2 linked regions of the Oryza sativa Japonica Group genome follow. The protein of the gene in region 1 interacts with the protein of each later gene in a pairwise test. Links are inferred from orthologs where the notes say so. Each region holds a gene or a part of one and is shown on either strand. Other genes may lie near its edges.

Region 1 (3,748 bases):
GATTTCTTTTCTCTTTGGAAATTTCCTGTCTTGTCTGCTCTCATCATATCCCATGCTTTCTTGAAGTATGATGGATCAGAATGTCTCCTCGAACAAGCCCCAGCTCCAGCATTATCAAATCTAAAAGACAAAACATTTCAGGAACCACAAGCGCATCAATAAAGAAAACAATCAAGTCTTACTTATCAAGAAGGTAAAGTCGTGGTGGGTCTCGACATTCTTCATAGGAATCCATCATAAATCGAGGTAGATCACTAGAAAGCAGGTGATTTTGCTCATCTTTAAGTTGTGCATGCCAATCAGAGCCTGCATTTTACCAGCACATTCAACAAAACTGTGAGACCATCTTAAACCAAATTATTCGGTGAGAGCAAGTGACGTTCAAGTATGAGACAGCATCTGACTTTGTACCGTGTAGATCTAGTAACAGTAAAACTAAAGTTTAATTCATTACCAACAACCAGAGCAGCTCTAGCATCATACGGCTAGGTTAACTTACCGCCAAAAAGGTCTATAGCAATTTAGCGACACCACCAACTTCAATTGGAAGTTCCTTATGGGTTTGGCCATTTTTCAGGTTGGCATTTTGTGATAAACTACTATGGACCTCATGCACAACATCAGGTTACTTCAACTAGTTTCAGTGCATTCTGATGGGTTTGTGGGCAAATCAGTGACAAGTAATTGGTTAAGATGGTTGTTGACAATTTAAATATTCATAGGAACCCTTAGCATGGTTTCTTTTATACTCCTGGTCATGATATATTGACACTGATACGGTATGTACCTGGTACATAAGTGAAATGTATATGGCTCTTCTGATTCTTGACAGCTTTTTCAAGAGATGGAAGTGCTGCCTCGATGTTCTGTACTCGAGTCAGCACCTTGCGCCCCCTAGCAGATGTAGTTATAACTTGCTCATGTAAGTCGTGAAAAACATCTGCTGCAAATCTGGTAAGACCAAAATATCTATTTAGCCATAGTAAACTAAACGATTACATGAAAATAGAGGGCTCACAACATAGTCGAACCCAACTAATAGCCAGCACTTCAATTTTTACCAGACACGGTTAAGAAACATATAGCGGTAATAAAAAGAAAGAAACATAGTAAAAGCAGGCAGGTATGTAGGGATGTAGGGCGGTATTCAAAAGTAAATCAATAGCCAGAAACAACTTCCAAAATGATGGTGGGAGCTTTTCATCAACAAGCAATGGAAATTGCCAACAGCCCTTGAAATCCTCAAGCCAGAAGTAGCAAAGACATTCAATAACATCTATCCCAAAACCCAAATGCATCCAATCACCCCTTAGACTAACTGATGGAAAAGGAAAATTTCAGAATTACCGGCGATGTCATCCAAAAACAAAAGGGAAATTTTCCAAAGCATAACCTATTACCCCCATGCTAACACAAGATCTTACTGAAAACCACAGTGAGATACTCAAAATACATAAACAGTTTCGATCAATTCACCAAAGCATGAAACCCGAACAAAGCAAATGCGGCAAAAAACCACATTGGTCAGCCATTTCCCACTCCTAAAACGCATCCAACCCTAGAAAGAGATCCCAGACACATATCCAGTTCTGGACAGGCAGCTCCGCAAAATTTCTCGATAACCAACAGACCGAAATCCTACTCTAATTCCTAAAACCCAGCGTGCCACTCGTCTCATCAAATCCAACCTCAACCCCAGATCCCCCTTCTTCTCATCACCCCAATCCTATGCACAAACCAACACACACCACCACTCCCGAACAAGCGCGAAACTTCCCCCCGGAACTGCAGCGGCTCGCCGAAATCATCACACACGAAGCGCACCAGATCCCGCGCTGGAGCCACAAACTCACGCGGCAACTCGAATCTCGCCTGAATCACAGCGCCAAGGAGAGAGGGTGAGAAGTAATGTGGGGGCGCTTACTCCGCGAGATCTCCGAGCTGGCGCAGGATCCCGACGAGACCGGCGACGGCGACGCCCTCGAGCAGCGCCTTGGGCTCCGCCTCCCCGCCCTTCTTCGCAGCAGCCCCAACTCCTCCTCCTCCTCCTCCTCCTCCTCCACCGCCGCCGCCGCCGTACAGGTCGGGGTCCCCAAGCCCCACCTCATTCCGCACCTCGAACCTCACCAGCGGCATCTCCCACCCACCTCCACCTCCACCTCACCGCCGAGCGGCACCCCTCATCCTACAACAATAAAAAAGGCGACGCCGCAACGGCTACTTTTCCCCCGGTGGTGGTGGGAGCCGGTGCGCCCGCCGACTCCGGTAGCTCTCCCCCGGTGGTGTCGTGGCGTCACAGGTTGCCGCCTCCGCAAGGAAGGAAGGGGCGCGAGGAGTAGCAGCAGCAGCAGTGGAGGCGAGCGACGCCGACTTCGATCGATCGAGCGGGCGGAGGCGCGTCGGTCTCCGACAAGGTGCTGGGCGAAAGGGACGGGGAGGCGAGGGGGGTGTAAAGTGGTGGTGGTGGCTACTACTGTGGAGGGCTTGTACTGGTCGGAGGCGCGGTGCGTGCGTGCGTGTTGTGTGCGTCTCTCTCGCTGTTTCTTTTCTTGTGTTGTGGCGACTTTGAGGCTTGGAAGTTGGAAGAAGAAAAGGGAAATGGAACCTGGGAGTTGGGACATGCGTTTTGTGTCGTTACGCTGTACACAGATATGAGAGGTCAATTGGTTTTATTTTGGGGGGGATTTGTTTTGATGGACTGAAAATTGGGGGGGGGGGGGGGGGGGGGTAGGTATATGATTGTTGTATTTGTATGCTTGTTTATGAGGGGGTATTGGGTTGGGCTCGTAGGTTAGACACAATAATTTAAACAAGTGTGTGTAGGATACTTGTAGCAGCTAGGTGTAGTACTATCATGTACTCTAAGATATACTTGTGCTTGAGATATAGCCTGGCTAATGATGGTGGTAGAGTGGGTAAGTAGTGGTTTTTTTTCTCGAACGCGCAAAAGGATTGCACGTCAATATATTAGAAGAAAAAGAGTTTTAGTTACACACCGCAATCAGCCAGACTGGCTTATGCTAGGGGAAAGAAGAAAAAGCAAAAGAAGAAAAACCTGAAGCTGAAGCTTTAGAGAAACTACGGCGGCTAAAAACAGACTCCAAGCAGCGGGAAGGGGCTAAGCCACGCTACACTCCCAACAAATTCCCAAAAGCGGCGACGCCAACTAAAGACCATAAATGGCCCTCCGCATGGATGGACTCTAGAACCACTGGGATCGAAGAAAGAGCGGAGTTAAAAACCCTAGAGTTCCGCTCCTTCCACAGACACCAAGAGACCAGGAGCACCATGGAGTCGAAGCTGTCGCGGAGGTGCTCTGGTAAGCAGGCCCTAGAGGATGGCCACCAGTCCTGGAACCAATTGCCACGGGGTGGAGAGAGGGCAGACCGGCCAGAAGGCGACAACACCCGGAGCCAGACCTGCCGAGCGAACACGCAGTCGAGGAGAATGTGGTTCGCCGTCTCAAGATCCTGAGCATAAAAGGGGCAAGTCGAGTGACTATCGATGCCACGCTTTTGGAGGAGATCAGCCGTCCAGCAGCGCTGCTGGAAAGCAAACCAAAGTGGGTAAGTAGTGGTGATCAATGATCATGTCAAATTTGACGAAAATGTGACATTTTTTGGGTGAACCCTTAGCGTGTCTCTTCTTTATCAGTGAAACGAGGCCTAGTTTCTAATTTTCTCAAAAAAAAACTTTATCATTTTCGTGGAGAAATATATAATCCATCAATCCTAAAATATAACAAGAC
Region 2 (3,748 bases), on another chromosome or scaffold:
CTTGAGGTGGATGGCGATCGATTGTCTTACCCCTGTACATTTGAAAAGGCTGCAGCGCCATTACCTATCCCTGACGCGAGCATATGAGAAGGGCACACGCCACACCCCTGGATGGCTGCCTGCCCAAATCACTAGAGGCAGCGTTAGTGCGGTAAGGAAGCACCGCGGCAGTCAAGACATACAGGAAGAAGCTGCTAGGCTGCACCATGGGAGGACGTGGTTAGGAAGAGCGTCCACACTCGGACGTTGTTCCCAGCAGCGTCCATCACTGGATGTCCTAGTAGATAACGTCCATTCTATTTTCCTAAATCCCCTCCATGATTTACTACTTATTTAATTTCAAGGATAATAATTACCATAAATAAAAAATTCGGGCCGGCGTCTGTCCGACTGCGTGCAAACGTGCAATATTCCCCTAAAAAGTTACAGTTTTACAAGGGAAAAACTCCACATTCCAACAAGCAAGCAGGCAACATTGCAGGTTTGCACTCAACAATCGGTTAGTTATCTCCACACAAACTTGGAACACGTTACAATTGTACATGGAATTGAGTAGAAAAGAAGCTGCCTTGCACGCTACTGGCACTGCATACAGATTAACACACACACACACACACACACACACACAGACAGAGAAACACACAGGAACAACCTCTCCTCTTGCACCCACAATACAGACATCCAAAGCTCTGTCCTTTTGAACCCATAACACATTGAAAGCACTACTTATGTGCAGACAAGCAGCCCTTAACTGCACTTACTAGTTGAAAACGGATGGATTGGTTGTTGCGCTGCTCACTTGAACCTCAAGCACCTCCAGTTTCCGCTCTAGGATGTCCAGCTTCTCATTCAAGGACGCAAGTTTGCTCTTCGTAGTAGCTTCTGCACAAATGCATACAAACCTGTGTAAGCATATTAGTTAACTTGAATAAACATGCATGCATAAGATATGCTACCCCCAGTCCACTCTGTTTTGCTGACATGCTCGAGTTCCTAATCAACATGGAGCGATTATGTTGTGAATGCATCTTGTTTGGAGCAAAAATGGAAGGTATGATAGTTACCAGTGCCTTAATCCGGACCATATTGAAAAGGTTCAATATGCATTCTGGACTAAATGTATACACGGAGGGCAAAGTACAGAACACATATATTCTGCACAGTAATGTTCAAGGTATCTTTCAAGCTTTGTTTTTGACAGTGGTTTAATGGACATAATAAGAAGCATACAGGGCTTGGAAAAGCACCAAGCCAATCCCTCCTTTCCAAGTAACAACTACTCCACAATTATGCAAAATTTTAGATAATGACAATTGTGCAAATCAGACTGACTAGAACATAGTCACTGGAGTAGTTGGCTGGCCAACAGGAAATATGCTGTCTTGTCAATGGAAGCTTAACTAACGTTGATTTAATAAGCTTATAGTCCAGAGAATTCATATCGTAGAAAAGATTTAAGAACAATTAAAGGTCTATATCCAGTAACACCGTTACTGAACTGAATTTCCGAATATGCTTAAGTTAGTTTGTTTGGTGTGACGCTGGCAGCTGTTGGAAGGGCAGAAGAAAGGCTTGATTTATAGATACTGTGTTGACAATGGCAGAAACAAGTTCAGATTAGAAGGGAGGCAGAATGGGTTTAGAGTTGATGGTACTAGTGTACATGGGTGAGGTAGAGCACATTTGTGGAAGGCAGGGAGAGTGGAAATGAAATTTTGGTTGGTGCATATGCATAGCTGTGTCGCCAAGACTAATGGAAATGTGGAAGCCCAGTTAGGGAAGGAGCAAGGCAGATCTAGTAGTAGAAAGGAAAAAGGGTAATGCAGATCCAGAGAAATGTGGCTATGCCTGAGTAGAGGAAGCAGAAATAAATGTGAATCCAGTGCAGGTCCATGGAGGAATTATGGGAAGGATAAGGAGGAAGAGGTAGGAAGAGAAAAAACGGACCGAATCGGAGGAGGAAGTCGAAGAGGCGACGGACGTTGAGGGAGATGTTGGAGATGAACTCGCGGTTCTCCCAGTCCGCCTGCACCGCGATCCCCACGTTCACCGGGTTCCCCATCCCATGCCCGCCCGCGCGAGCCATCTCCCCCTCCCGATCGATCGATTAATTACCTGCTTCTTCTTGGATTCCTCCCTCCCCCGATTCACCTCACCTACTCTACTCCTCCTCGCCGCCGCCGCCGCTGCTGCTCGTGACGTGACGTGCTGGTGTCGTCCCCTCCTCATCTTCATTCTCCCGCAACTCCGAGTGGCATCTGTTGGGCTGGGCCGGCATGCATGAGTTAGCCCACGCACATGAGCTTGAACAAATTCGGCCCAGTTTTTCTTTTCCCCCACTACTTTCATTTCCTTTCCTTCGACCTGGAGCAGGGGAGCTGCTTGTTTGCTGGCTCTGGCTCGGTCTGGATGGTGGCGCCGCCGGCGGCACTGCATCTGCTACTGTCCCGCCCTTGGCTGACCGCCGCGCAGCTCCGGCAGGCCCACGCCCACCTGGTCGTCTCCTCGCTCCTAGCCGACCGCTTCTTCCCCAACTCGCTCCTCCGCTCCCTCCTCCCGCCCTCCCACTCCCACTCCCCGCTGCGCGCCCTCCGCCTCTTCCCGCGCCTCCGCCGCATCATCGCTACCAATCCCTTCTTCCCCAACGCCTACACCTTCTCCTTCCTCCTCACCGCCTCCGCCTCCCTCGCTCCTCTTCCCCACGCCGCCTCGCCGCGCGTCCTCGTAGAATCGCTCCACGCCCTCGCCATCCTCGTCGCCTGCGACGCCCACGCCTACGTCTCCAACGGCCTCATCCACGCCTACGCCTCCTGCGCCCTCCTCTGCTCCGCCCGCCGCGTCTTCGATGTCAACGTCTCCTGCAGGGACGTCTGCTCCTGGACCTCGCTCCTCACCGCCTACGGCAGGGCCGCCCGCCTCCACCACGCGCGCGCCCTGTTCGACGCAATGCCCCACAAAACCACCATCGCCTGGGCCGCCATCCTCAGCGCCTACGTCGGCGCCGGGAGCTTCGCGGAGGCCGTCGACGTGTTCCAGGAGATGCTCAGGGCCCGCGTGCGCCCCAACAGGGCGGTCATCCTCAGCGTGCTGGCCGCGTGCGGGGCGCTCGGGGCGCTGGAGCAAGGGCGGTGGGTGCACGCCCACCTGGTTGCCGCCCACGGCGCGATGGCCAAGGACGGGATGGTGGCCACGGCGCTGGTGGACATGTACGCCAAGTGCGGGAGCCTCGAGACGGCGAGGCAGGTGTTCTCGGGCATGGCGGAGAGGGACGTGTTCGCGTACACGGCCATGGTCTCGGGCCTGTCGGACCACGGCCGCTGCGTGGAGGCCATCGAGCTGTTCGGGCGGATGCAGGAGGAAGGGGTGCGGCCCAACGAGGTGACCTTCATCTGCGTGCTGAGCGCGTGCGGGAGGGCGGGGCTGGTCGGGCGCGCGAGGGAGATCCTGGGGAGCATGTCGGCGGTGCACGGCATGGAGGCCGGCGTGGAGCACTACGGCAGCATGGTGGACGTGCTGGGGCGGGCGGGGATGGTGGAGGAGGCCCTGGAGGTGGTGCGGAGGATGCCGATGAGGCCCGACTCGTACGTGCTGGGGGCGCTGCTGAACGCGTGCGTGGCGCGCGGGGACACGGAGGGCGGGGAGGAGGTGGCGGCGATGATGGCGGAGCTGGGGCTGGACGACCGCAGCGGGGTGCAGGTGCAGCTGTCGAACCTGTACGCGGGGCGGGGGAAGTGGGAGGAGGTGGTGG

The links. The genes of interacting proteins can lie anywhere in the genome.
Region 2: the proteins of SCAR-like protein 2 (region 1) and probable protein BRICK1 interact in binary tests that used the Arabidopsis thaliana proteins (3 or more experiments, as listed by UniProt). The link is inferred for Oryza sativa Japonica Group from reciprocal best matches to the Arabidopsis thaliana genes WAVE2 and BRK1.

The regions. Positions count from the first base shown.
Region 1 is NC_089035.1:5,898,887-5,902,634, reverse strand, and holds the start of SCAR-like protein 2, read right to left. Parts: upstream 2,600-3,748; 5' UTR 2,137-2,599; coding exon 1,925-2,136; intron 952-1,924; coding exon 788-951; intron 307-787; coding exon 183-306; intron 121-182; coding exon 1-120. UniProt on the Arabidopsis thaliana protein: Involved in regulation of actin and microtubule organization. Part of a WAVE complex that activates the Arp2/3 complex. Regulates trichome branch positioning and expansion.
Region 2 is NC_089036.1:36,178,089-36,181,836, forward strand, and holds probable protein BRICK1, read right to left. Parts: upstream 2,196-3,748; 5' UTR 2,087-2,195; coding exon 1,948-2,086; intron 883-1,947; coding exon 761-882; 3' UTR 333-760; downstream 1-332. Other genes in the region: pentatricopeptide repeat-containing protein At3g62890, read left to right, coding at 2,410-3,748. UniProt on the Arabidopsis thaliana protein: Involved in regulation of actin and microtubule organization. Part of a WAVE complex that activates the Arp2/3 complex.